Linked DNA regions of Diceros bicornis minor. The protein of the gene in region 1 interacts with the protein of each later gene in a pairwise test. Links are inferred from orthologs where the notes say so. Each region holds a gene or a part of one and is shown in the gene's direction. Other genes may lie near its edges. The genes, in order: NUTM1, SH2D4A, ZNF277 and RIC8A.

Evidence for each region.
Region 2: the proteins of NUTM1 (region 1) and SH2D4A interact in binary tests that used the Homo sapiens proteins (3 or more experiments, as listed by UniProt). The two-hybrid records come from large-scale screens. The link is inferred for Diceros bicornis minor from reciprocal best matches to the Homo sapiens genes NUTM1 and SH2D4A.
Region 3: the proteins of NUTM1 (region 1) and ZNF277 interact in a two-hybrid assay, tested with the Homo sapiens proteins (2 studies listed by BioGRID). The two-hybrid records come from large-scale screens. The link is inferred for Diceros bicornis minor from reciprocal best matches to the Homo sapiens genes NUTM1 and ZNF277.
Region 4: the proteins of NUTM1 (region 1) and RIC8A interact in binary tests that used the Homo sapiens proteins (3 or more experiments, as listed by UniProt). The link is inferred for Diceros bicornis minor from reciprocal best matches to the Homo sapiens genes NUTM1 and RIC8A.

What each region holds. Positions count from the first base shown.
Region 1 is NC_080744.1:31,626,047-31,633,510, reverse strand, and holds the start of NUTM1 (NUT family member 1), read left to right. Parts: upstream 1-4,449; coding exon 4,450-4,453; intron 4,454-5,710; coding exon 5,711-5,806; intron 5,807-7,464. Other genes in the region: NOP10 (H/ACA ribonucleoprotein complex subunit 3), read right to left, coding at 3,434-3,574, 3,864-3,917. UniProt on the Homo sapiens protein: Plays a role in the regulation of proliferation. Regulates TERT expression by modulating SP1 binding to TERT promoter binding sites.
Region 2 is NC_080768.1:40,644,883-40,651,817, reverse strand, and holds the start of SH2D4A (SH2 domain-containing protein 4A), read left to right. Parts: upstream 1-3,919; 5' UTR 3,920-4,404; intron 4,405-6,935. UniProt on the Homo sapiens protein: Inhibits estrogen-induced cell proliferation by competing with PLCG for binding to ESR1, blocking the effect of estrogen on PLCG and repressing estrogen-induced proliferation. May play a role in T-cell development and function.
Region 3 is NC_080742.1:63,837,225-63,844,905, forward strand, and holds the start of ZNF277 (zinc finger protein 277), read left to right. Parts: upstream 1-4,660; 5' UTR 4,661-4,673; coding exon 4,674-4,764; intron 4,765-7,681. Other genes in the region: DOCK4 (dedicator of cytokinesis protein 4), read right to left, coding at 4,035-4,071. UniProt on the Homo sapiens protein: Probable transcription factor. Involved in modulation of cellular senescence; represses transcription of the tumor suppressor gene INK4A/ARF, perhaps acting via the Polycomb group (PcG) complex PRC1.
Region 4 is NC_080770.1:18,594-25,473, forward strand, and holds the start of RIC8A (synembryn-A), read left to right. Parts: upstream 1-3,865; 5' UTR 3,866-3,996; coding exon 3,997-4,080; intron 4,081-4,359; coding exon 4,360-4,407; intron 4,408-4,492; coding exon 4,493-5,083; intron 5,084-5,574; coding exon 5,575-5,666; intron 5,667-6,241; coding exon 6,242-6,392; intron 6,393-6,880. Other genes in the region: BET1L (BET1-like protein), read right to left, coding at 532-699, 845-901, 1,183-1,314.

The sequences.
Region 1 (7,464 bases):
GGCGGCTAGCGGGTCGAGAGAGCTCGGACTGCAGCTCAGGGTTGTGGCAGGTCGCTGCTAGTCCGGCTCTCTGGGTTTCTCCTGCGTGTGACAAGACCGGCCACCCTCTGCCGGGAGATGCTTTCTCCCCTACCAGAGCCCCGCCGCAGGTCAGCCCCTCGCCCTTCTTCCTCTGGGTCCCAGCAGAAGAGGAGACGGCGTCGCAGGCTGGCTCTGGCTGAGCAAGAGGCGGCGGCGGAGAGGAGAGGAGGAGGTCGCAGGTGCGGGATCCCGGCGCCAGCTGATGCGGGTGCGCGCGCAGCTGTTGTTTACGAGCCGGTAACTGCTTCCGAGCCGCAGCGCGCGCAGGCGGGCTCGGGCTGCCGGGGAGGGCGCCCCCTCCCCTGCCAGACGCCACAGCAGCCGTTATGTGACCTCGTCGCCCCCTCCCCGGGCCCGAAGGGCTGTGCCCGCGCAGCCGCAGCCCCACCCTTCCCTCCCCGCTCGTCCCTCATTCGAGGGTAACGGTCCCAAGAGAAGCGTAGGGGAGCGGTCTGAGGGCGGCACCGTCCCGCAAACGCTAGGAAGCCCCGCCCAGCCTCTGCAGCCCGCGAGGCGACGGAGAGGGCTGCGCGCATGCGCTCGCCCGGGTCGCGGCGGGACTGGTGGGCGAGGGGCGGGGCTGAACGCGGCAGGCCCGGAGCACGAACGGAATTGGGGGGGGGGGGGGGGGCCGGTTCCTGAGCTGCGTGCGCTGGAGAAAACTCATCCTTTTCCTTCTTGGTTCTGCTGTGTTGCAAACTCACTCTGGCGGCATCTCAGAAAGCAGGCGACACACTTTGCCCTCAGAATCCCAAAAACCATCTCTCTCTTTAATAAGAGTCTCTGAAAATACCATTCAAAATTTCTTTAAAAATCACAAACTTCCCAATGCCATATATCTAGGTATGACTCTCACTGGAATTTTTATGTTGAGGTGTATTCTAAAGCATTGTGTCCTCAAATTTATACACACTTTGTGCTACATTTCTTTTTCTTGTCCTTTAAAAAAATGCTGTCTTTCACAGTATATACATCTATCAAATCAAGTTGTACACCTTAAATATATACAATTTTGTCAACATAGCTGGAAAAAAATGTTATGTTCACTTTCTAGTCAGACTTTAAGTTCCATTAAAGAAAATGTTTTTCATATTAGACCTGGAAAAGATATTGAGATACTTTCTGTTGACTATTGCCATCAGAATATTTTTCTCAGCATGTGTATTTAATGCATGAGTAAAGGTGTTCAATACATTTTGAGTCATCAATGTTTTGTTAGGAGGTTATTTCCCATAGCTTTGGTCAAGGCATTTATTTTATTTTATTATTTTTCGTGTGTGTATGAGGAAGAGCAGCCCTGAGCTAACATCCATGTCAATCCTCCTCTTTTTGCTGAGGAAGACTGGCCCTGGGCTAACATCTGTGCCCATCTTCCTCCACTTGATATGGGACACCCCCACAGCATGGCTTGACAAGCGGTGCGTTGGTGAGCACCCAGGATCTGAACCTGGGCCACCAGCAGCTGAGCGCGCACACTTAACCAGTACACCACGGGGCCGGCCCTGGTCAAGACATTTAAATTTAACAATCTGGGTCCTAGCTTTGCCTAGGTCCTTGCCCATCCCAAGTGGAAATGTTTCAGCATCATCCTTAGCAATAGATCAAACAGTATTTAAGACCTGAGCCAGGATATTCCCTTTTATCAAATGACACACAAAGTCCAAAATCTGGTTAAAAAGATCCAGGTAACAAAATGAGAAATAAATTCCCATTTAAAATGTAAACCTCCTCAAAGCTTGATTCTTGACAGGTTTCCTACCTGAGAAAGCAAGAAATTCACCTCCCTGAGGGATCAGTTTTTTCCTCAGGCAGGCCTGCTATTCATTCAAATCTCACAGACTTTCCCTTTATAAAGAAACGCTGAATTTTTTACAATATCCAATTTTGTTTCATAACAGTGTATTTTCATTCATTTATATATACTACCTAATACCAATATATTATACCTCTTAACTGTTTCTGAGCACATCTCAGAGATGTTAATACCTAGGGGGTCTCTTAAAGAAAAAGTCCTCGGTATATTGAAACCAGTTTGCCTTTTCTCCTCTACTTTGATTAGGAATATTTCCAGGTCAAATCTTTTCATTTCAGTCTACACAGCAGGTAGCATGGAACAATGCTAATCCTTTTTCTTTTTTTTTTTGGCGGGGTGGTAACTTATAAAGACAGAATTACAGTCACCATTAAAAAAATTGGTAGCAGAATTCATTTACTGACTTTGGTGCTTAAGAAATCTTCCTTAGCAGATCCTTTTTCTAGTCATTTGCAGAATTTTTAACCTTTCTTCAAAGATTATCCCCTTAATAGGATAAAGTAACTCTTTAAAATCCCTCAGATCCAATACTAAGAACCATGTAAGTGAATAGACTAAGAAATAAGAAATTTTTAATTAACCCCCACACTACCTTGACAAACAACAAAATCTCTCATATTTCATCTTCTAAATTAAGATCCATGAAGAGTTCCAAATAGCAGCTAGCTGCCAGAGAGAATATAAAGTTAGGTGTATGTAAAAAGACAATTCCTTGATGGAGAGAACAAAAAACCTGGGATTATTTCCAGAGGGGAAGTGAATATGCATAAAGGCATTGCTATTCACAACGGCTGCACAAACACTGTAGATATATTAAGATCCACCACTGAACCCTATCAATTTTAGAGTTGGAAGAGAACTTAGAAATGATGAGAAAAATGAGACTGAACAGGTTAAGTGACTTTCTCAAAGTTATACAAAGAGGGGAGAATCCTGGTCTCCTGACTTCCAATTCACTGCCTTCCCTCTACAAAATAGCTATTATTTTTCAAGCAACTCTTCCATTTTGAGTCAATGTCATTTCAAGGGGCAAGAAATTATTTAAGTGACAACAGGGGTATTTTTCAGAGAATGCTGACAGTTGTGGACGCGTCTTTCTCAACCTTTCTTCCCCTTCCTCAACACCCTCCTATCACTAACAGCACAGCAGGACTCCTGCTGCAGCAGCGACTCAAGTTTTTCTTCCAAGTGAACTTGCTGTACCTTTGGGAGTACTCTTCCCTCTCAGCTCCTTCGTTTTTGTCTTTGTTTTTAAACCACTTCTTTCTTCCCACAACATACAAAACAAGAGCTCCTTCAAATCATTTTAATAACTTGGCAGTGACTGAAAACATGAAAAGAAGATTCAAACTTGTTCCCTTTAAGGGAGATGCTACCATGATTGCCTCACACAAGCATGATCAAAAGCAATGATGAGACCGGATTCCACAGAGCAAGGGTGGTCAGAAGGCCTCAAGGCTCACAGATTGAAGAGCGTGGTTTCGGAAAGTCTCTTGAGGGGTAGCAGGCGGCAGAAGACACACGAAATTTAAGGGACTCTCAGAGGACAGGGCGCGGTTGCTGGGTCATGAGCACCTTGAAGCGTTTCTTGATGGTGATTCGGTGTCGAGAGTATTTGTCGTCTGGGGAGAACCGAGCAGGATGGGCCGAGCAGGTCTGTTGTCCCACAGGGTCAAGCTTCTGCTCAAGAAACAGAGAACATCAGTACAGGAGTGATGGGAAAACTCAAGCACCGGCGTCTAAAGGGAGATGGAGGCTGGGATGGGGAGGGGGCCGCGCAAAAAAAGGTAAACAGGACAGAAGACGTGACGGACAGACGAAGGGGTCATACACTCCCGCTTCTACCACGCCTGGCTTCTGGGTTTTCTAGTTCGCCTCACCCAGGGAGGCAACTCGGTGCCTGGTCTCAACCGCTGCTCCCACCTACATTTCTCGCCATACCCATTCACAACCTGTTTCCTCTACTCACCTTAAGCGTATAGACCCGGTCTCCCTGCTCGTTGAGATAATACTGGAGGAACATGATCAGACTACAGCCAGAACTTCCAACTCCGTGCGCAGCTCCGTCCAACAGACCGCCTCACGTGTTTGTCAATTTCCTTCCTGCATAGCCGGAAGTCTCTTTCTAGGCATGCCGGGAAATGTAGTCCACTTAGGCCTTTCTCCAGCTGGCCAAAAGGGGGAGCCCTAGTGCAAGAGTTGGCCCAGTTGCAACCCAGTTGCAACTTTGCTGGCGTTGGCGCCCAGTTGCAACCTTGCAGGCGTTCAGAGACGCGTGGAGTGTGCCCCCTGTGTGCCCGACACTGCTAGGCTGCTAGGCGTTAGAGGGGGGTAAGGATGGATATGAGTTGAACATTGATGAATAGAATCCTGTCTTTATTTCAAGATGCACACCCATTTCAGGGGCAGTGTGTTTCTAGTGTCTGGAGAAACAATAGCTCCAGGATCCAGAGCCCCTTTACCTTAGGGAAGAAAGAAGAAGGTTTTCTTCCCTCCTCTCTTTTACATCCGATCCCCGCGCCCTATTTCAAAGTATTGGCGGTAAAGAGTGCATGATGGGTATTCAATATTCTGTACAGCGAGGAGAGCGTGAAGTTATTTTATGAAACTGGTGAAGTATGTTTTAGAGGTCGAACCAAGATTCAAACTCAGGTCTCTTTACCACAAATTCAGCGCTCTTATGGTGGTGAGTAGCTAATAATAGCATAATAAGATGTACCTCCGAAGGGTATTTCCAATTTTTAAAAGAACGTAGAAATTCTCCTTATAGGACTCTAGTTTGAAAAACGAAAATTGGAGCCCAGATATCATTACAAAGATGATCGTTGCAGTATTATGTATAATAGCAAAAACATTGGAGCATGTATTAATTTTATAACCAGAAAAACTGAAAGACTTTATTTTTTTTAAAGAATATAGTTTGTATTCACTTGTAGTTGCATAAAATATCTCTGCAAGGATTCACAAGAAACATAATATTGGTTTCCTCTGGGATAAAGAACTCCGTCCCAGAGGAAAGGAGTGGGAGGGAGACTTGCTGTATATTCCATTTTGCATAGTTTGACTTTTGAACCATGCTGATGTATTACCCATTTAAAAAATTAAAATTATTTAACAAAATTTTAAAACAAAATAATTTAACAAACAAAAGGAAGGACTTTTTGGTCTTGAAATTTTAGGCTGAATGGCAGTTTTTGATAGAGTGGGGCTTTTCAGCCAGGGGTAAGGCTGAGCCTTCTGTGGACTGCAGAGCTGATGGAAGTGGACTGTTGGGGCACTGCAGGACAGCTTTCCAAGGAAATGATATGCATACAGCAATTGAACACCCTGGGTCTTATGAGACAACCCTAATTTCAGACATTCTATTCCCTTGATCCTTAAGTACACCAGACTATGTGCTCTGAATTTGGTTCAGAAAATATAGCCAACATTGAATTAAGTCAAGGGTCTGCCACAACCTGCTATTAATGGGAAATCAGGTACAGAACTGGATGGGATTGAAGGGCACAGAACTAGATATATTGGTGAAGAGTTGTATAGGGTACTGAGATGTAAAACTATAATGTTGGGAATCTGAGAACGAATATACAAATATCCCTAAAGAGGTACACAACAATTGTGTTGCCATACTCTGGTTTGGAGGGAATTCCTTGTTACTGCTTACTAGAACCCTTTGTGGAGTATCTCCCTCCCCCCACCCCATATTCTGCTGTCCCCTCCCCCACTGCAGAATGCCTTGAGTCCTAGATTCTAGTTCTGTTTTAATCTGATCTTTACCCTCCCTTCCTTGGATCCCTGTGCCTCTACTGGAGCCAGATTACTCTCTGGGTCCTGAACCTGACTGTCTCATTCTGGAGGCTTCCAGACAGCCACGGTTAGCGCCCAAACCTGAGAGGATGGCTTCAGATGGAAGTAAGTCTGCAGGTGGGCGGGAGGGTCCCTGCCACCTGCTCACATCCTTCAGGATTAAAATTTGATGCTTTACTTGGGGACAGGCTCTTTGGGCTGATCTAGAGGGATGCGAGATCACTAGAGACCTCACCAAAGGCCTCTCACTGGGGGAGGCTGGGGAAGGAGGTTGTGCCATTAAGACTGGGGGTTGGGGAAGGAAGAAGGCCTCCTGGGAGACAGATCAAAGCACCTCAGAGGAAAGTGCTGATGATAGAGAAGGAATGGCAGTTAACAACTTGCTTCTCTGGAAGAGGGACCCTTTTAACATATGCTTGTGTGGCAGGGGCAGGAGTATGTGTGGGGCCCAGAGAAGGTTCAAGGGGAAGCCTCGAGTTCCTGTGTCTTCTTTAGGCAACCGGAGGGTGCTCTAGAATTTTGCCCTGAGAGAATTGAGCTGGGGCCATTCTGGATCTTACTGAGGGGGTGGGGGGTGGAGGCCTTAGCTGGAAAACTGTTCAGTGGGGTTATCTGTTGCCAAGTCTGTAGAGAAATGTCCTCCCGAAAGCTAGACTGGAAGGTACTATAAGCGCCTCTGCTCAGAGCCTCATGGCTCCTTCCAGCCCCAGAGATGGCTTCTCTCTCAGTTCAGGGAGCAGTTTTCCTTGATTCCTCCGCCAGGGCCAGGGGAGGTGGGTCACTCCAGCCAGTACAAGAGCTGGGGCTTCCCTGAGATGCTCTCAGCTTTTCTACCTTTTGTGGAGCTCAGGCATTCAAACCCATTTCTTTGTGTTCCGTACTTGGTGGAGTACTCCTGGCCCTCTGCTCTGTGGTTGAGATGACGAGTTTGCTCATATTCCGTGTCTCCTTCATGGTCTGGAAACGGAAACTGAGTGTTGTTAGTTTGCCAGTGGGATATTCTTTATAAGAGGGGAGGAGAGTAGCATGAAATTAGACAGATGATCTTCTATTGTTATTGTTAAAAGTCCTAGGAGACACATGTCCTGATTAATTAAGTACACGTTTTGTGTATTTATCTTTCGTCTCTTTGACTGGAGTCCGCTTAGCTCCTCCTCAGCAAGTACTGTGTTTTGGACTTCCTTATCAGTGCCTTGTTCATAGTGGGCCCTAAATTTCTGATGTTAGGAACTTCAAGCAGAAGGATCACAGATAGTCTGCATTGCCAAATTTTAACATGTCCAGCAGCTACTTGAAGCTCTGGAAACCTCCCTCCCCACACCACCCTGCCCTTGCTCATTTCCTGACCCTTATCTCCAGTCATTCCTGGCTGTTATATAACAGAAGTGCTGGGAACCAAACATCTAATCCACACATCCTCTTCTGGGAACAACACTTCTGTGAGTGGTGGCAGGGACCACAGAGCAGCTGGGAGTAGGGTTCAGGTGGTTTGAATGTGTTGGGAATGGATGGGAATAAAGGTGTACCTGTATGCTGGGTGCAATGAGTTATGGGGCATGAGCTCATAGGTCCAAGAATTATTGCAGCTTCTCTAGTGCAATAATTCTTAACTGGGAGTAAGGGACATCAAGATCACTTGGGGGACATTGCAAACTATACAAGTTCTCTCTCCATATCTCCTCCCTCACCTGTTGAGAATCGGAACTCTGATTCTTCAGGGACTAAAGTGGAACTCTGATGATCTGACTTCTGGTCTCCTTTTC
Region 2 (6,935 bases), on another chromosome or scaffold:
CAGTTCCTTTGGGCCACAGGCTGCTTCCCGCTGCATTACAGAAACACAGGAAAGGAGGAATGTCTTATCAGCAACCCAGAGCACGGATTTTGAGGAAACAATTCCATAAAGGTAATTCAGGGGAAAACATCAAAAATTATAGTCTAATTAATTCAAAGATTCATGTAAAGACCAATAATTTATCTTGATATTTATGAAGATGAAAAAATGAAAGCCCACATAGAGTCATAAAGGCATGAAAATAGTTCAAAATCAAATCTAACTGTTGGCAGAAAACCAAAACGTAATAGATCTTCAATACATTTTTCTATGATTAATAACTTGACAGAAATTTATTTTGAGATTTGATCAATTTTTAGTAAAGCTGAAATGTTTTAGTCCTTTTCTTTCACATCTACTTCATTCACTATGGAACAAACGTAGAACTTCTTTAAGAATTAAAAAAGTGGTTGGGGTTTCTGATGCTGACTATAAAATATGACAGGAAAAATATTATTGGTGTTTATCCTATTTTCTTTTATAAAGAAAAAGTCTGAAGGTAACTTTCATTTTCTGGAGAATTTAAACACAAATTGACCTTTACTTATGAAAAGTGAAAAGTGGCTTGTTAGACTTTCTGGTAGCAATCAGCTGCTGTGTACATAGCTCCCGGGGGTGCCTTACACTCTGTGATCTCTGCCTGGTGCACCTCCAGTTGTGCAGTGCCATGGCTGCACATGACAGCCCTGGGCAGCACCGTTCTTAAGCAACATTCTAAAAGGAATATCAGCGAACATGTCCCTTAAAATGTAGTCTATTTGTTTTGTGGTGTCCATTACTACAAATAAACGACAAATTTAAAAAATTAGTTAATTTACTAATTTACTATTATTACTGTTAGATATTAATAGTAAATAGCTAGTTAGCTTTTCTCTTGGAACACTGGCCCTGGATGGGCATCAGGGCAGCCCTGAACACATGTTCTGGTGACACCTATTGTACATGTCTCTGACTTGCCAGCGGTAGATGCCCAGCTCCCGTCCCCTGCCAAGGCCTGGTTGCCCAGACCTGACCTTCCATTTGGAGTGTTGCTAGCATATGAAAGCAGCAATCTTCTCCACAATGCATCCTGGATCATGGAGTGGAGAAATGCTTTCTTCTGAAAGCACTGGCCCAAAAGGAGGGAAAGTAATTGAGGGCCTCATAAGTAAGTAACGGAGGCAACTGGTGTTTTTTAGAGCAATATAAAACGTTCTAATTGTCTACTTTTGAAATTAAGGAAAAATATATACTTTTTCTTCCCCAGATTATGCCAACTGAAAGAGGAAATACTGGGAGACAGGAGAGAGGGAACAAAAAAGAAAGGTGGAAGAGGAGAGGAGAGACAAAGTGAAGAGGATGGAGAAAGAACCACAGAAAGAGGAGGAGGAGGAGAGAGAGATTTACATATCCAGGAAAGAGGCACACGACAAGACGACGGACAGGAGACAAGGAGAGAAAAGGGAAGAGATACTGGGCCCCAAGCTGAGGGAATGATTGCACTACTTGGGTACAGGCTGTGTTCATTTGGGCTGTTAACATCCATTCAGCTAACGTGCTCCGCACATGACTAGTCTTGCTGTCAAGACGTTTACAATCGCAAAGAGGCAGAAAATATACACACAGCTACTATACAAGGCAGTGCTGCATAGAAGACGGCAGCAGGGGCCCTGGCTGTCTGCTCTTTGTCACCCGCCCCCCCCGCCCCCCTCTGTCACCACACAGCCTGGCACCTAGCGGGTGTTCATTAGATGGTTCTTGGATGTGTTAAGTGCTAACCTGTGATACAAGTGCTCTGAACATGGAAGAGGCCAGGACTGTTTCCAGCTGGGGGGAGGATAGGCAGGAAAAGGTTCCTAAAGACTGATGCTTGAAGACTAGGTGGGATTTTCATAAGCCAAGTTGTGGGTCAAGACATTTTAGACAGAGGCCAGTGTGGAGCCCCAGAGCCTGTGTAGGTTTAGGGCCTGGAAAATGCCAGATTATCTGAACAGAGGATTGTATTAGGAAGATGATAAAGCTGAGGGAGATTAGTGTTAGATTGTCCTGGTCCTTGAAAGTTGGCAAGAGGTTTAGTCTTACCTTGGACAAAAAGGAGGGGTGAGCATCAAAGATCTTTTAGCAAGTAAATGAAGGATCAGAGTTAACGTTTAAAAAGATGAATTTGACAACTGCATTCAGAAACGTCTGACCTGGAGAGCCTGGAGCAGAGTTGCTGAAAGCACAATCTATAACCCCTCTTGGATCCAATCATTTGGAGTGCTTGTTCAAAAGGAAGATATTCTACTGCTTTGCTCTGAGGTGAGACCCCGGATCCATGTTTAAATAAGCTATCCAATACATGAAATTTCCTGCATATGAAAGCTAGCTAAAACTGGCTTAGAAACAAGACCAGTGTGGAGGTATATCAGTTATCTACAACTGTGTAACAAATTTCCCCAAACAGTGGCTTAATATAACACAAATTTACTCACTTCCAGTTGTGGGTCAGGAATTTGAGAGTGGCTCAGCCAGGTGGCCTCATGAATTTGCAATGATGCTGTAGACCAACGCTGCACCCCTGAGTGGGGCTGGAGGGTCCACTTCCAAGTTCATTCTGTGGCTGTTGGCAGGAGTGCTCAGTTCTGTCCTCGGGGCCTCTCCATAGGGTTGCTCATGACAGAGCCGTTGGCTTCCCTCAGAGGGAATGATCCAAGAGAGGGAGATACACACCTAAGACAAGCTACAAGATCCTTTATAACCTAATCTCAGAAGTGACATAGTAGGAGATGGGGATCATTGAGGCTAACTTGGGAGTCCAGGTACCACAGGAGGCAAAATTCATAGCCTGGGTGTGAGGTGGTAACTTGAAACTACAGTATGTTTTGTGAAATATTATGAGGTAATGTGTTTGAACACTTACCACATCCAGGAGCTGTTCTAAGCACTTTACATGTATTATCTCACTTAACCCCCAGAACAACTTAATCAGGTAGGCACTGCTGTTATCCAGAGGGGGAAACTGAAGGATAGAGAGCTTAGTAGCAAAGTGGGATCGCTGTTATAAAGAAGGACTTGTTAGGACATAGAGATAGGTTGAGTGTGGAGGAAGGTAAGTGGCTGTTACCAGTGTCCTGTGGAATTTTTACTGGCTGATGAAGGACCCTTTATAGTTCTTCAACTGTTCAATCCATCAAGTTTTAGGATTCATTTTGAGCTGGCCACAGCAGCTAACCAGGGGCGAACGACACTCCAGCCAAAAGCACCCCACATGCCATTTATTTAAAAAGCAGTGGGAACCAAAGCTAAGCCAGAAATCCTCCCCTGATAGGATCTCTAGGGTGGTTCCCAAATAGTTAGGTCTCTCAAGGACTGATCTCTGCTCCAAGGCTCTTTCTAACTTTGAGTTTCTTCTGCAGTCTGGAGAGGCTAGGAATGAGAAAGTTTCATTTCCCAACAGAGCAAGTCAGCTCCTGAATTTATCAGGGAGGCTGTAGAGAAGGACAATGAACGCTCACTGTTTATTACTCCTCTCCCCAACACCAGTCTGTGGTTCACTAAAGCAGGCCGTTTTTCTCTACACATTCTGAATGTTCCCCCTCAATGGAAAACGCCCTGCAACCTGTCTACTCCGCTACTGCTGGACTTCCCTCCAGGATTTCCTTTTCCTGTCTTCAGTCAGCTCCTCCCTTCATGCACCCCTCGACCTGTTCCTGCTACAATTCACAAGATTCCTTTACCTTCTTGCCTTTTTCCAGACTTCTTTCATTTTTCTCTCCCTGTCTCTTGTTTTCAGTCTCCATCATTCCAGCCTTTCTCCTCCTTGATCCTGTCCTACAAAGCCACACCTGTACTGACAAGTGCCCCCGAGTTTGAGTTGACTTAATGTCAACAAAAGAAAAAAAAAAGTAAGCTCCAGAGACGCAGGAGCACAACCTGAGAGCTGAGCCGACTTGACCTGCGGGACTCGGTGTAACTGAGACCTGCCCGCCGCCGCAGGCTCCACCTCGCTCGAAACCCCGGCTTCGGAGCGGGAAGGGGCCGGCCGCCGATGTTGATAAGTGACGCAGGACCCGAGATGGCGCGACAGGCCGTCACAGATGCAACTGGGGCCGGTGGCCTTGCCGTCCGGAGCACCGCGTCTGCGGCCTGGCGGGCGACGGGCCCGGGAGCGCCTCCGGCGCGGGCGGGGCCGCGACCCAGTCAGTCCCCGGCACGTGGGCGCGGTGGGGCGGCGCGGGCGGGCGGGGGCTGGGGACGCGTTTGCCCACAGCCCGGCCGAGTGTTTGTGCAGCCGGCCTGGGCCGCCCGCGGGCGCCTCTGCCTTCCCCTCCCCGGCCGCTCCCGGCGGCCCAGCCGGACGTGCGGGGCTCGGCGCCCTGCTAGGCGGGCCGGCGCCGCGCACAGGTAGGTGCCGGGCGGGGACGGGAGGCCGGACGGCGGAGGCGGGGCAGCCCGCGTGTGGGGGGTGTTCTGGGGGGAGAGGCGCGGGGCGGGAAGCCCGGGCGCGGCCGGCACGCACCCCCCACGGCCCCTCCGGCCGCGGGCTCAGGTGTGGGGCTGGGCGGGCGGGCGGCCGGCGTCGGGTGTCGGGTGTCCGGAGCCGGCGCGGGGGAGAGGCGGCGCCGAGGGCCGGGGCTGAGCTCGCGGGGCGGGGGCGGCGGGGGCGGGCGCGGGGCCCTGGGAGGCGCGCCGCGTCCCGGAGGGGGTGTGCCGCGCGCCACGCGGGGCGCCGGGGGCGCGGGGCGGCCGCGGGAGGGTCTGGGCCGGAGTTCCGGCGCCGGGAGGAGCGCGGCCCGCCGTCCCGCGGAGCGCCGGGGAGCTCCTCGCCGCGACCGTGCAGGCGAGTCCCCGCGCCGGTCCGGGGGCGCCGGTCCGGGGGCGCCGGGGCAGGGCCTGCGGCGGGCGGGCGCCGCTGGAGTCAGGGCGCGCCGGGCTCGGCCCTCAGCCCAGGGGCGCCGAAGGCGGTGGGCGCGGAGGCGCAGGGACGAGTCCCCCTCGCAGGTTTTCTCGGGGTCGTCCTTCCCTCCCCGAGGGTCCGAGGGAAGAAGCCAGCGTGGCGCCTCTCTCTTTCTAAACTTAGAGTCTCCTCACCTCCTAAAAGACTTATTTGATTGCCTGTTTACTGGCAATAACGACTTGGATACAATTATTTTTTTAAAGTGAATAAGTGGAAAGCATATGTGGGCAGAGTTGGCATGACTAGAATTTTCTGGATAAATCTGTGGGTACAGTAATTTCCAATTTTTGAGGAATGGTGTACATTTACAAAACTTACCAAGTGTGGTGTCACCTCTAGTAATTCCTTTTTATCCTCAAAAATAGCCCCTTTGCAGAGAGATTAATAAGGTAAAGTCGAATAAGGTAACAAAGTCTGAAAACGGAGCTGGGCTGTTTTAAAAGAATTAGAATTCAAACTATATTCTTAACATTAAAGTTATACTGTCCGTATTACAGTATTTTAATGATTTAGGCTGTATTTCAGGCTTTTTTTTTTAGGTCTCAGAGTCATTAAAAACACAATTATTCTTTCATAGAACAGGGCAGTGGAAATTGTGAGAGTCAGGCCAAATCTATAGGTATCTTGGAAAACAACTGATCCTATGATCCTTTAGAGATTTATTTTTGGAATAACCAGCAGATGTAGGCTTGTTGCTTGTCATTTCTCTCTTTTAAGAAAAGTGCTGTACAAGAAGAAAACCAAGTTAGCCAAGCTTCTCTTTTTTTACTGGATCTTGAAAAACTGGAAGTTTGCTGCACTCAATATGTTACACAGGGCCAAGTCATTGAGTTTGAATCAGCAATGATTGTCCTGCCTGGAGTGAAAGTGGGAAGAATCCTGCTTAGTTAATTTCCTTATGTCCATTTCCTTGATGCTGGCTCCACTTGTCTTTGTAACTTCTGGTTGGATTTTATGGTATAGTCCTCAAATTACAAAGATTCACAGTTCAGGCCCTCCTTCACAGATGAGGAAACTGAGTCCAGAGAAGTGACAGCGTGAAGTTACACAGCTCATGAGAGACAGAACTAGGAGCCCAGGCTGGGGTCCCTGCTGGCTGTCCTGGGAGTGCCCTGGGCTGTGTTTGAGTTTCTGTCTGAAAGCATACGGAGGAAAGAGTTCATTCACACCAGTGGGAATCAGCAGCCTTAGAGTGGCATGCGTATTATTCAGCATCCTGACCACAAGATGGTTGTTAGCTGGGTCCCCAAGTAATCTCTGAGGACACAGGAAAGCCAGTGTCTTTTAAGATCCTCTAGTTAACTTTGACGCTGAAAATCCGTGTTTGCCACAAAGGGCAAAACAAAACAGAATTAAACCCGTGGAGGAGCTTGAGCATCTCCTCACAGGGGCTGTGGAGCTCTTCCCATTGTGAGAGGCTGGGCCGTTGGTGCTGTCCCGGGGGGTCGTGTGTGAGGGGCAGCTGGGGAGATGAGTGCCCAGTGAATCCAGTGGGCAGACAGCGTCCACACCTGGGCCAGCAGGACAGTAAGTTCCCTGCTGTCCTTCCTGAGGTGGGGCCTTTTCAATTTTGGCCTCCCCTAAGCTTATCTGCAATCCCCGGGATGAGGCTTCTACCCCTGGGAGGCTCTCCGTCGGTTCAGCATGTCTGTCGCTGCAAGAATTTGCTGGTTTTCATTCCGAAATTTCACATATGGTACCTCATCCTGATGGTGTTCTGATTCTGGGCTCACAAAGAAACTCCACTGTCCTGGTGGAGTACACTAGAGCCAACTTAGAGCCAGACTGCCCAGCTCTGCCACTTGCCGTCATCTTCATCTGTAAAATGGGGTGATGGGGACTGAACTTGAAGGATTATTGTGAAGGTTAAATGAGTGACTGCACGTCAAGTGCTAGGGTAGTGGCAGCACAGTCACGTCACTCTTGTATCGAGAGTACTCTGGGTGGGGTGAGGGGAGGAATGAGCTTTGGCACTGGC
Region 3 (7,681 bases), on another chromosome or scaffold:
GGATCCTGGGCGCGCACCGAAGCATCGCCTGTCAAGCCATGCTGTGGCAGCATTCCATATAAAGTGGAGGAAGATGGGCGTGGATGTTAGCCCAGGGCCAGTCTTCCTCAGCAAAAAGAGGATTGGCAGATGTTAGCTCAGGGCCCATCTTCCTCACAAAAAATTTAAAAAATAAAAAAATAAATAAATAGGGCCGGCCCTGTGGCTTAGCGGTCAAGTGTGTGCACTCCGCTGCTGGTGGCCCGGGTTGGGATCCCCAGCGTGCACCAACGCACCACTTCTCCGGCCATGCTGAGGCCGCATCCCACATACAGCAACTAGAAGGATGTGCAGCTATGACATACAACTATCTACTGGGGCTTTGGGGGGAAATAAATAAATAAATAAAATCTTTAAAAAATAAATAAATAAAAAGGAATGGGATTCCTCCTTGGATGAGTTCCAAAACCACTTCTAGAGAAATGGAGGAAAGGAATATTTGTGAGGACTCAGTGATACCCTAAGACTTCATTTTTAAATGACACTCGTGACCTTCAGATCAGCTTGTTCTGAGGTTTGTTTCTTGTAAGGCTCATGGATTTTTTGCACTGATCAATCCAGCCCATATTCTCTCTCTAAGCTTAAACAGGCTCACACATGTAAAACATCTGGCCGAGGTTGAGAGGTGCAGCTTGCAACTCAGGAAGACTCACCGGCTCACCTGGGAACACTGTGCATAAATGCCTACCGAACAAAGGAACACAGAAACATATCCGCAATGGGCTTAACTTTCTCTGTGACACTTGAAGGGAGGGGAGGGAGTATGACAGATGAGGGCAAGCAGGAGGCAGACAGAGATCGTGAGGACATCTGTGAGGGGGCGATCAACAATGCTGCAGTCACTGCCCATGGAGTTCCTACTGGAGAGAGAATCAAACAGATCGAAAAAGTAAGCAACCAGCATCTCGGTTCTGGCAGCTTGCCAGGTAGCTTTTGCTTACCTCTGATCTTGCTTAAGAGCTATGTGGGATGTGTCACAGCAAAAGTGTCCCTCTCATAATAAACTCTACAAGTGAAGATGTTTTTCTAACCAACGGATGCATTTGTTTGGAAGAGCTCTACAGAATCAGAACCCTGGATATCATTTGATCCAGAGGCTGAGACCCAGAAAGGTTAAGTGATTTACCTAAGGTCACACAGCTGGCAGCAGTGTCTAGACTAGGATCAAGAGCTAGGCAGAATCTCCCAAGATAAAATATGCCTATTATTGTGCCTACTAACATGTTTTAAAGAGACAAAGTTCCCTACCCCTCTGGACTATAGTTTTATCAGTATACCTTTCTAATTCCCTAGAATCAGAACACTTAGGTATACGACTAAGTATGTAACGGTTTAAGACCATTCACCAATTAAATGAAGAAGACAGTGCCTACACATCAAGTTTGAAAAGGAATTTCTATCTCTAATATACCTTACTATAGGTATGAAATCTAAGTAATTTTACCCATGTTTATAGTATGTGGCTTGAAACTGAAACAAAAAGATGTAAAGACATAATTATCTCATACATAATTGATAGTAGATAGGAAGTATCATTGTAGAAATATACAATTTGTACTGAAACTTCAGGTATTCCAAAGTTACAAAGACCGATTTATTTCAAAGAATGAGGAAACCAAATTACTACTATATCTGATATCAGCCAAACATTTGGGCCCATAAAGTATCTTTTCTGTAGTATTTACAAAAACTCGATGAGAAAAGCACACACACTAACCAAGGTTAAAAAAAAATAACAACTTGCAGCATAGGTAGCTACAAATAGTGCTCTCCATGGTGAGAAATAAAGTCCATATAATTTTCACAACACACACACACCTAACAGATGGATTCTAAAAAACAGCTAAGCATTCCATAAGCCAAATGCTCAAAAAGTAATAAAAGATGATTAACATTCCTGTGTACGTGATATTGTATAAATGAGTACAACACACCCCTCTGTGCTCCCCCCTTTCATCTCACTCAACCTCCTTTTTCCAAACATGTGCTCACCCTTCCACCTCCCTCTACTCTGCAACCAAATCACAACCACCCAAAAGCGAGGTGTCTGCTGCAGCCCAAAACACTTGACTGATAATATCCGGTTTGCCATTCCAGGAAATCCCAGAGTGGGTTTTAACCCTCTGCCCACAGCTTGTAAAGAAAGGCGAGAGAAGAACTAATCGATACTAGCACCCCAACTGTGACCTGGCACATAAAGAAATCAAAAAAATAAACCCCATTCCATAATCTGTATAATTTAACACTTGGAAGAAAACAACATCTGGGATTGACTCCAAGCGGGACACTGTTCCTGGATGGGTCTGGGCTTCCTGCATTGTTAAATCCGGTGACAAGGGGACCCTCTGCTTCCTCACTGGTTCGGCAAAGGCAATGTCTTTACCTAACAAGGATTAATCTACCCCCAAAAAGGGGAGAGTGAGGAGAGGAAAAGAACAACCACTACCATCTACTCCTTGCCAGTAGAGTGCCTAGCAAAGGTTCCCCTTACACTTTGAAGAGAAGGAAGGCTGGAAACCCTTCTCAAAGGTGGGTCCAGAACAAACTATTGTCTTGCTAACCAGTCACAATCTAGAATGGAAGCTAATGTAAAATATGGAAAGGACTTTGTTTAATCAATCATACAGTCCTTTCAGTGAACTCCAAAGTCCTATCCCTAGGACAAGTTGGAAAATAAAAAAATCCTCTTGACTATGACTCCCTGGAAAGGCTTTCTACATTTTTTAAATTACAGGGAAATGAATTTAGAACATAAGCAGATACCTACATATCGTCTAAATCACTAGATCTGTACCCAATTTTTTTTAAAAAGCAGCAAATCGGGAGGACAGGACATTACAGAAAATAAAGACTTAGTAAAATCCATAATGCTTTCTCTCTGTTAAACCTTCTGAGAGGTTATAATTACATTTGGCCGCTGCAGGCTTGTCAGAGAGCCTGGCTTCTTAATACACAACCCTAAAAGGAGTAACTGTCAAGGGGCGACCCAGCTGAAATCAAACAACAAAAACGGGAACTGTAATCGGCCTGAAATGGGAGGAGGAAAAGGAAGGGAGACTCCTGTATTCATCAGTCAACATTAATGTCCTTTGTTGTTCACCTTTGCACAGAACAGCGAGCGCTACCCTGTGCCTTTTCCTCCGAACGCCAGTATCAGGGTAGTCCTTTCCTAAAAACTGTCTCCTTGCCTCGAAGACCCAGGCTTTCCAATCCCCCTCCCCATTACCACTCCACAGCCGTCCGCCACCGCCACCCCCACCACGCTCACCCTGGGCAGAGAAGGTGGCCAGAAGTAAAAACATTGCTGAAATACCCGTTCCCCTCCAAAGAGCAAAGCGGCGCAGATGTTGAAATTTACCAACCGCCCCCCCATCCCCGGTCCCTCAACACACACACCCCATAAACCCGGGATCGGAGGGAGAAGGGAGGCTCGGGCCGGGCTCCGTCTGTCAGAGCGGCTCTTTTGAGGGCTGTGCCACATTCCGCACTCCGGGAATGTTGATGGGAGCCAGAGAAAAGGTTTTGCGCCTCCCTTCTGTTTTGGGGGTGTTCCCCCTGCGCGGTTGTTGTTGTCTCCCTCTCCACCCTCGGAAATCGTTGCAGTCCATTGCCGTCACCCCGCCGCTTTGGAGAAGAAGGACGAAGGAGCAGAAGAACGCCGTTCGCCCTCCTCTCCCAACTTGACACACACACGCCCCGTCGCCGCTCCAAACTCCGCAGGCAGAGCCCCGAGCGGGCGGGCTGGCGGCGCGCTTCCCCCAGACGTCCCGGCACTCCTGGAGCCGGTGCGGGGAGCGCCCATCCGGCCGTGAGGGGCGACACCCCGGCGCGCGCCCCTCTGCTCGGAGCTGGCTCGGGAAAGCCCGAACCCGCAGCGCGATGCCAGGATTAGGCATTTACAGCCCGGCGGAGGGAGAGGGACGCGGGGGCAAGGACGCGAAATGCGCACCCGCTCCGGCCAGAGCGGAATAAAAGTTCGCCCCGCGAAGACTTACCCACGCCGTATTTCTCGTGCTCCGTAGGTATCCACATGGCTAAAGCGGGCTCCCGGGTCTCCGGGCTTTGTAATCCCCGCGCCCCTTCTCCGGCTCACAACAATGCACACTCCCGAGGAGCGGCTGCAGCGCTGGAGCCCGGCGGCTCCGCGCGGGCTGCGCACTCTGGGCAGGGTCTGCACTGGAGGCTCCCGAGCCCGGCGTTGACACTGCGCGGCCAAGGCTGCGCCGCCCGCCGCTTTCCAGGCGGCAGCTGCTCACAGTCCTCCGACGCGCTCCCGGGGACCCGGCGGCGCAGTCATTGTTCTGATTCACTGAACTAAGCGAACGCGCCGGGGCACTCTCGGGCGCTCCCCCGCCCGCCAGCGCCTCCTCCAGCCCTCCCTGCCCAGCGCCCCCGCGGCACGCTGGGAATTGTAGTTCTGGGCCTCTCCATCCAGGAAGGGGGCGTGGCAGTAGCTGTTGGGGGCGGGGATTAGGTTCCTCTCGCCACGTCCTATTGGCCCAAAGCGTGACGGCGCGACGTGGGCGTGGAGGAACCGCTGCGTTGATGGGGAGTTCTCCTCCAGTCGCGTTTCCATTGGTTCCGGACCGCACCCGCCCCGCCCCGCGTCCCTCCCTTGTCTTTTCGCCCGCGTAATGGCTGCTGCCGAGACCCAGGGGGCTGCTACCCGAGGGGAGGAGGACAGTGATGGCAGCCGTAGCGGAGCCGGGGATGTCAGTTATGAGGGTGAGTACGGTGCCCCTGAGGTGCAGGTGGTTTGTCTTCCTTTCTCTAGGACGAGAACTGCAGCTGACCGCTGGGCGGACCCCGAGAGCCTTCCAGCTGGGCGAAAGGGGGCCGCAGGCGGGGACCACTGGGACGGGGTGAGGTCGGAGGCGGCTACTTGGGGGGGGCTGTCAGGGAAAAGAAGAGAATATGGGTTGGAATGACCTTCCCCGCAGCCAGGGAAGTTCCTTGGGCCTTTGTGTTCCGTTTGGAGCTCTCAGCTTCGCGCTTGCTCTCGAGTGGGTGTGGGTCAAGTCAGGTTCGTGCACGTGTGATTATAACTCTGGGATTAGCAGCTCTTTTTCCTCGAAATGCCCTTCCTCGCCTCGGTTTGCTTGGTTTGGCCTCGGGAGATATGTTTTATTTGGGTTCGGGCGGATTTCCAGTTGCAGACTGGTCACTGCTCTGCACTCTACAGATTTGTTCAGTTGCTGGCGAGAGCGGCCTCTGAAGGGCAAGTGTGCGCGTGCCTCTCACAGCCTCCTCTGTCGCTTGTTGACTGCCCCGGGCGTTCTCCAGGATTGAACGTGGAGCCTGGGAAGTCTTCTCAGGCCGGGGCCTTATGGCAAGAGGAAAGGAAGTGTTTTGCACTTGTGGCTTCAGAGAAAAATTTGAAGGGGGTTATGAAAATCATCACAGTTACTTTGGCTCTACTTGACTTTCGAGTTGTCCTCTGATCCACTGTAGAGATCAAAAACCAAACTTTGAAAGCTGCAGGAAGGTTGTCTTTAGGATTCCTAGCCCCATTCTCTTACCTTTAGTCTATCCCCCGCCTTCTTTTTTTTTTTTGCTTTGATATGTCATTTAGCACGGCAAGTTGTCTTTTTCTGATGGGCTTAAATTTGGTTCTTAGTCCTTCTTGAGGGTTTTTGTTTGGTTTTTTGGTTTCTTTGTTTCCGCTTTCTTGGTTAAATGGACATTTAGTCTTAAATTTTCATCTCAGCAGCACAGAGATGAAGTGTAATTTCTTCCCACTTCCCGTCAATGGAATGCCCTAGCCCTGAAATTATTTCAATACCTCTACCAAAGAAATCTTTGGTAGGCTCCTGAGTTAAATCTTGAGTTATACCCACACTCTAGACAGTTCATTATTGGGTTGGCCGTATAGTCAGCTCTTAGGTGATGGTAACAGACTACAGTATTAAGGTTTTCCAGATTCTCAGAGTTCCAGAGGGCTGAGTTTAAAAATCTAGAGATGGAATCTTTGGTGAATTTATCTCACACATTAACTCATAAAAAAGAAAATTGGGTATGCCTTTCAAAAACATTGTAAAACATTTAAAAATCTTTAGTTATTTTAAAATTATAAAAGTTTTCATTATAAACATTTCAAACTGGTCAGAGGTGTGTAAGGTAAAAAAAATGAAAATTCCTTCACCACACAGTCCTACTCCGCAAGTAACAAGTGGTAAGGGTTTGGTGGGTGCTCTTTCTGACATTCCTGTATGACACACATCTGTATGGTTTTGATTTCTTAAAAAGAAAACAAAAAGGGTTTATTCTATGTATGCTCAAAGATCTGCGACCTTTTTTCTCCCAGTGATGTGTTGTAGACACTCTTCCATGTCAATACATTTGTTGCTTCCTTGCTTTTAAGGACTGCACCCACTGTATTCCATAATATGAACGTGCCATACTTTAGCCATTCCCCTATTAATGACCATATAGTGTGGCTTTAGTTTTTCAGTTATGTTGTAGTGAACAGCTTTGTATACAAATCCTTGACCACTGGGTGTGTATTTCTTGAGGAATTGCTGGGCCAAAGGTTACATATGTTTAAAACTTTAACAGATGTCAGATTTTCTCCTTGAAAGGTATCAGTATACATTCCCACTGGTATCATATGAGTGTCCTTTTCCCCATATCTTCACCAACTGTGAGGAAATTATTAATCCAGGTCCAATGTTTAAATGATTATTGAATTGAATTGAGTAACTGATAGAAAGCTTAATTGTAGGTTCTAATTTGTTTTCATCAAAAGTACTGAGCAGCAGTGAATTTGCAGTATCTGTAACATAAAAACATTCCTCACCCTGGCTCAGACCTGCCCAGTATTCTCACTAATTTGTAGCATTTTTGGAAGAGGTTACTGGTTGATGTTTATGTCATTCTTATAAGGTAAAGTTATCATTAAAAGTCCCCTTAATAACCTGTGTACCATTCTGAAACTTTATCCGATTTTTTTCAAAGCCTGCAAAGTGATACAAATTTTGCGTGAAGACAGTATTAAAAGTATACTCATATTTTTTGTTAAGCAGTCACTTAGGTTATCAAGTATGTCTTTCCCTGTAAAATCCTTAATTTCTTGAAAACTGCCTGTTTTAAGAGGTTTCCCTCTAGCTCTAATTAAAGTGGCAATCTGTGTGTTTAATATCCTGGGACAGAAGGGGCTAGGGAGTCTTGTTATGGAAATGCTTGCAGTTTCGTAAGATCTCTGCTAGAGCGAGTCACTGGGTGGTATGCAGGCAGGTACAGCACCTTCTCTGGGACCCGTGTTTACAGATTTCCTGAGGTGCCATCCCTCTCCAGGAAAGTTCCTGATCTTGCACAACACTGCTTTCTGTACATTTGAGCACTAACTAGGATTTCATGTTGTCCCCTAAAATTAAGAACAAGTAGTAAATAGACTCAACATTTCTTACACTTGAGGATGTGTTATTGGTATTTTTTCTTTTGCTGTTTTTCATTAGAAGGCAGTAAGATAGCACATCTATAGTTTATTATTTGGCAATACTGGTAGGAAATTTTTGTGACTGAGGTGATTTCTTCTGACAGAGTTAACCTGTGCCTCCATGCTATAATATTCTGACAGAGTCAACTTTTTTCCTTGCAAATGCATGCCTAGTAGATGATGATCTTGGTAATGCTATTTTGGATT
Region 4 (6,880 bases), on another chromosome or scaffold:
GACCCCTGGCCAGGAATAACCACCATCTCTAGGCTGAGACTGTCGGTTGGAACAGACAGTGCTGCCTGGAGCTTCACAGAAACACCCCTTCTCTATCAGCTCCAGGCACCTCAGACACCAGACGTGGCCTTACCTAGACAAGGATGGGGCAGAGGTGCCTGGAGACATCAGAGCCCCTAGGGCTGGGGGAAGGACTGACCACAGGTAGCCACGTCCAGGATTCCTAGCTCCTTTGCTCAGACCTGGCTCTGTTGGCACCTCTAGCACCTGGAGTGGCAGAGGGTGCTGGGCCTTGGTTTCCCCAAAGGAAAGGGTCCCATGTCTGCATGGGACCAGCAACATGGGACAGCCAACATGATCTCACTGGGCCAGAAGCAGCCATGGGCTCCCAGCCACACAGGAAGAAGATTCCTAAGCCACGATCATCGTTCCAAAGGAGTATTTTGTAGGAAGGTCCTCTGGAGCCCAGGACACCAGGTAGAGGAAGATGCTGGTTGCCCTGTGCACCCACAGACGCCAGCTCCCACTGGTTCACGTCCTTGCCCTCGACAGAAGGTAGGAGAGGATGAAGAAGACCACGATGAGTCCCAAGGCCATACCGCACAGAAGCTTCCGGTTGTCTCGCCCAGATCGCGCCATTGTGGAAAAGCGCTTCACACTCCCCGTGAGCAGGCCCGTCATGCTTGTAAAATCCGAGTCCTGAGGGAGGAATCCCAACACGATCACACAGGGGTGGACCCTCCAAGACCCACAGGAGAGTGCTGCAGGAGACACTGGGGACCTATATAGCAGGCAGTGTGGGGCAGAGCTGACCGAAACACTCACGCACGCTGCAGACCCTTACCATGCCATCCAGGTACCGGTTCTGGTCCTCTGCATCCCTATCGATGTCCAGGGCAAGCTGATCAGGACACAGAGGGGGCAGGGTCAGGCCAGGGAAGACACTGGATGGTGCTTGACCCTCCATGAGACCAGCAGACCCAACCAACGATTCTGCCAGACACAGTACCACCAGCAGAGATCAGGAGGTCCAGGTATCACCTAGGCCTCACACAAGAGAGTGCTGCCACGGATGGGACAAGGAAGATGAGAACTACATGAAACCCTTCCAAGCCTCTACCCTCCCTCTGATCCCTGCTCCAAGGTGCCAGGTGGAGGTGAAACAGGAGGACCACCACTGACCGATTTGAGCCTGGTGACCTTGGAGGCCAGGCTGTCGGCCATTCGCTTGTTCTCCCGGTCTAGAATCTCCTCCACAGCGCCAGGGCTCTGAGCTGCAAGGAGAAAGAGAGGCTGAGGGGTGCATCCACCCATGAGCACTGCCCTTGACCCCTGGATGTCAGCCCTTCGTGGCCTCAGGACTCTCTCACTACAATCCCATATACCTGAGTCGGAATCTGGCGGGACTAGGCCCACCTGTGTCTGATGAACAAGTCCAGCCCTAACCCAGGATCCGGTGTAAGGACTTCACACACACGTGAGACAGGCTGTGTCAACAACAGCGTGTGCGGGCACCCATCACGTGACCACATGTCCTGTGTACACATCCAGGCCAGGGTGGACAGGCATCCCCAACATGTACAGCCTCAAAGGATCAGCCCAACCGGCACTTTCTGATACTCTGTGACAGAACCTGCACCATCCCTCCACAGACATTACTATCAGCGTACAAGAGACCTGTTCCCAGAGAAAAACAGTAAACTCTGGTATGGACCAAGGAAAGACTGGTGGGGGGGCAGCAGGAAGACCCCTGCAGGGACGACCTGTGAACTCGGTCCTCAAGAGATGACAGGTAACCAGGGAGGAGACAACTCAGCACAGCTCCCCAACACCCAAAAACGGGGGCGCTGAGGTCGATCCCGAGGGCAGGGCCTGGGCCTGCTCACCTCTGCACCCCACCCAGGGCCTTATATGACACCGAGCACAGTGCTTGCTAAGACCGGTCCCATGACTAGGGAGCGGCCAGGCGGTTCGGCATTACTGTCACATCAGGTGGGTGAGAACCGCGTCCCCCCAGTTCCGAGTGCAAACTTGCCCCGGGCCAGATGCCTCCACGTGACCCATCTAATGGGGGTGCAGCTCTAGGAACCACAGATGGATACAGACGCCAAAGGAAGGAGTGTTGGCGTTCTACCAACCCCCTCACGTTCATTAACTTCTCAACGGTCACAAGAGCCCGGCGAGACAGGCATCAGCATCCCACATCGCAGACGAGAACACGGGCTCCCAGAGGGCGAAGGGGCTGCCCTCCCACCACGCAGCCTCCCTCCTAGGGGCTGGCCTCCGCGACCGTGAGGCCGGCCGGGGTGCCAGCAGAACCATCTGACAGGGACAGAGGGGTACGAACTCCGGGCAGCCGGGCCCCGCGACGCAGGGACCCCACGACCCGCCCACAGCGCAGCCGCCAGCGCCCGCAGGGCCTCCCCGCCGAGACCACCCAGCGGGCTGGGCCGCGCGGACGCAGCTCTTGCGGGCAGCGGCGTCGATTACGGCCGGCCCCGACGCCATCCGGCTCTGCTCTCCCGCGCTCACCGCGAGCCCAGTCCGCCATCGTGCCGGCTCCGGGCCCCGGCTCCGTCGCCTACCCGGCCCCTGCCGCGGCGGACGTGGCGCAGCCGCGGGAACGAGCTTCCGGCGTCGCCGCTTCCGCCTTGGCCCCGCCTACTTCCGGCGGAGGTCACCGCCCCCTCCGCCGCGCGCCCGCCGACTTCCGGCGGAGGCTCCGGCCGCGGGGCGCAGGGCGCCCGGGTGGGGACGGAAGTGGCCTGATGTTGGTTCCTCCGCCTGACTAGGACCGCCTAGGGTTAGCGTTTTTAACGCCAGCTCCGGTGTCCAGACGCCTCTATCAGCCACGCCTCCGGGACGGCGTCAGGCCCGAAGTGGGAGGAGCTCGCGGGCCCTCTCCCGGGCGACGGGCGGGGCTGGGCGCGCCGAGGGACCGGCCCCGAGGTCCCCCGGCCCGCCGGGCTGCGGCGCGGTGACTGCTGGCGGACCAGGTGGTGCTCGGGGCCCGGGACGCCCCCGACGAGGACGGGGAGCCGGACAGTGGGTGGGGCTGCTGCTTGTGCGCTGGCGCCGACCCAGGGCCCGGCCGAGTGGACGCTCGACCGGCGCCTGTTGCAGGGCAAGTCGCCCGCCACTGCGGGGGCATCCGCTGTATTACTGAGTTCTCCCGACAACCCACTGGAAGGGCGACTTTGGTCTTCTCTGCTCTTCGAGAAAGAGGCCTGAGTCCAGGCCGATCGTGTGTCTGGGTTGCGCAGCGAGGAGCCGCCGCGCACTGTGGAGCTCTGCTCTCCTCCTGACCCTGACCGTAAGCCTTCCTCAGCCCCAACGAGGTCCGTTTCTCTCCCACCTGGCCGTTCCCCCGTGCCTTGAATGCCCGTCCCCAGATCTTCCTGGCTCCCCTCTCGTCCGGCACCTCAGACCTCTCTGCAGCCCAGCAGCCTCTCCTCTTCCAGTCACGGCACCGCCTGCCTAAAATCGTCCTTGTTTGTCCTCGCCTTGGGAACATAAGGTCCGCGAAGGCAGGGTCCGCGGGTCCTGTTCGCCCGCATCACGGCGCCTCGCGTGTAGTAGGCGCCCAAACGCCCGTTTAACAAACCAAGTGGTGCGGGGGCTGGCAGCCCTTCCCACCGTGGCTGTACCCGCGACATCCTGTCCGTCCTGTTCATCAAGAGGGGCGGGGGGTGGGGCTGAGGTCGTCTCCGCCAGGAATTCCTGCCCGAGAATTCCCGAGGGTCACTCTTCGGTTCGGGGGCGTCTCGGGACCTGAGGTCGGACGATCACCGAGTCGGATCTTGAAGCCCGGGCGGCAAAGCCTTCACGCTCTAGGAGGCTGTTCCAAGTCTCGCCACCTTAAAGCGCGCCACCTTAAGGCGCGCGCTGCCCCGTCCCGGCCTCCCCCGCGCGCGGAGCCAGGGCGGGGCTGGCGGACTCAGGCCCGGGGCTGCGGAGCCACGTCCCGCCTTCCGGGCGCCAAGTACTGGAGACGCCATGGAGCCCCGGGCGGTGGCCGATGCCGTGCAAACGGGGGAAGAGAACGTGGTTATGGAGGCTCTGCTCGCGTACAACCAGGAGGTGAGCGGGAGTCGTGGGGCGCGCAAGGAGGCGGTGGGCCGGGTGGGCGCGGCCGGCGGAGGGGTGGGTGACTGCGGCGGGGCCCGAGGGTGGAAGGGAGCGGCAGGAAGGGGCGCCGAGCCTACGAGGAGTCGCTGGTTGGAGTCACGTGCGCACCTGGGGGCAGGTGTGCGGGGCGCCATCTGTTCGGAGCGGCGCCTGCAGCCTCGGGCCTCATCTCGGAGGCCGGGATCTGCCCGTGCGGACCTGCGCTCCATGAGCCCCTGGGTTTCCCTGCAGAACTCCCAGAGCTTCACATTCGATGACGCCCAGCAGGAGGACAGGAAGGTGGGTGCTGACCGAGGGGTAAGGGGCAGAGACGGGGGCCCCGGGTCGGGGAGCCTGGTGGAGCCGCTCTACTCCCCGCCCACAGAGACTGGCGGAGCTGTTGGCCTCGGTCCTGGAGCAGGGCTTGCCACCGTCCCGCCGCGTCACCTGGCTGCAGAGCATCCGCATCCTGTCCAGGGACCGCAGCTGCCTGGACCCATTTACCAGCCGCCAGAGCTTGCAGGCATTTGCCTGCTATGCTGGGATCTCCGCCTCCGGGGGCTCGGTCCCCGAGCCCCTGGACATGGACGTTGTCCTCGAGTCCCTCAAGTGCCTGTGCAACCTCGTGCTCAGCAGCCCGGTGGCACAGGTGCTGGCAGCAGAGGCTCGCCTGGTGGTGAGACTCGCAGAGCGCGTAGGGCTGTACCGCAAGAGCAGCTTTCCTCACGACGTCCAGTTCTTTGATTTGCGCCTTCTTTTCTTGCTAACTGCGCTTCGCACCGACGTGCGCCTGCAGCTGTTTCAGGAGCTGCGGGGAGTGCACCTGCTGACAGATGCGCTGGAGCTGACCCTGGGAATGAGCCCGGAAGAGAGCCCCCCTGCGCTCCTTCCTCCCCAGGAGACTGAGCGGGCCATGGAAATTCTCAAAGTGCTCTTCAACATCACTTTCGACTCCATAAAGAGAGAGGTGGACCAGGTAAGAAGAGAGCTGATCTGAACCCGTGGGTGGGGCTTAACAGCTTGAATGTTTCCTGGATCTGCTTCCCTGTTGGGTGCCTTCAAGTTTCAGGGTGTTAGGCTCAGAGAAGACTGGAGGAGGCGAGGAGACGCCTGGGTAGGGGCCCCAAGGAAGGTTTCTGAGGGAGGTGGAGAGCACATTTGGCTTTTGGAGCCTGGCAGGAGAGCTGTGTGATACATGGGGACAGTGTAGGAGATTCCCAATCACGAGGCTGTGAGCATGGGGTCAGAACACAGAGTGTGACTCAATCCCAAGGACATCTGTTGACGTTCTTAATCAGGAGAGTGCTTTTCAGGTTGTGTAGGAGAGGCGGAGGGGCCGGGTGTGCAGTGGGGGAGATGTGTAATCGGTGCACTTGGTCCTGGAGTGGGGCAGACGGTGGAATCTCAGCTGGCAGCAGGGGGACAAGTGGGGCTCTCTCTCACAGGAACCTCTTACTCTTTGGTCAGGAAGATGCTGCCCTTTACCAGCACCTGGGAACCCTTTTGCGGCACTGTGTGATGATCACTGCTGCTGGAGACCGTACAGAGGAGTTCCACGGGTGAGGGTGGGGCCTGTTGTGTTGGGAGGGAAGTGTGCTCACGTGTCTAGATGGTGGTTGCCAGCCATGGTTGTGGACAAGGCTCCACCCTAGCGAGTCTTTACCCATCTGGGTGGGACTAGACATCAGTGGGTTTCCAGAGAGCTCTGGCACTTAGAGTACATGGCTAGGACGAGAGCCACGAGTCTGGGAACAGGAGTGTGCCCCAGGACCTTAGGCAGGGGCAGTGGATGGTGTAGTATCTACAGGGCAGTGTAGGTTCCTCATTCCTGTTCTCGGTGACCTGTCCCTGGAGGCAGGTTTTGGTTTTCCAGAGGTGGTCTGTGGTGCTTCAACCCAGACAGAGGGTCATAGGTGAGGTGTTTGCATAAGAGTGCCCCCCTCCTCGGGGACCCACTCCACTGAGCAGGAGTGCCCCCTGAGAGCAGTCCTCTCCTCAGCTCGGGCCCCTTGTGCTGCTCCTTAGGCCCCTGGACACTGGTTCACGTCACATGCAGCCCCAGCAGGAGGTACCAAGGGTTGTGCCTGTGCTGGGGGATTGGATTCACCAAGCCCCTCTCCCCGTCTGTCCTCAGCCACACGGTGAACCTCCTGGGGAACTTGCCCCTCAAGTGTCTGGACGTCCTCCTCACCCTGGAGCCACACGAAGGCTCCCTGGAATTCCTGGGAGTGAACATGGATGTGATTCGTGTCCTCCTTAGCTTCCTGGAGAAGCGTCTGCATCAGGTAGGCAGAGGGGACTTGCTGTGTGGGCTCCCCAATGGCTCTGGCTTTGGCCTTCCTGAGCAGCTGTGGTCACTGCTTTTGTGCCGTCCACGTTAGTGAGTGAAGATTAGCTCGCCAGTATGATTCAGGTGATCCTCCAGCTGCTCTGTGGTCCAGCCAGGCAGGAAGCCAGACCCGTCCTCCCTGAGAAGCATGTGGACACTCCTACACACACACTTGAAGGTTTCGCTTCTGGTTACTACAAGGAAACAAGTTTTCAGAGTCTGCTTTTTAGATTTCTTTATGGATCTCTCTGGCATGGTGTTGAGAAGCCCCCAGTCCCTGCCTGTGATCTTAGACTCTTAGTGTTTCTGTGCACGGGCAGCCCTTGGTGACGAGCATTGGTTGTCCCTAGACGTCCCTGAGGGGACCCACAGGGACCTCGAGCCAGAGGCTTCCTGATTCCTGCGACTGCACCATAGGATATTGGCCGTCCAGGGCTCTGAAGA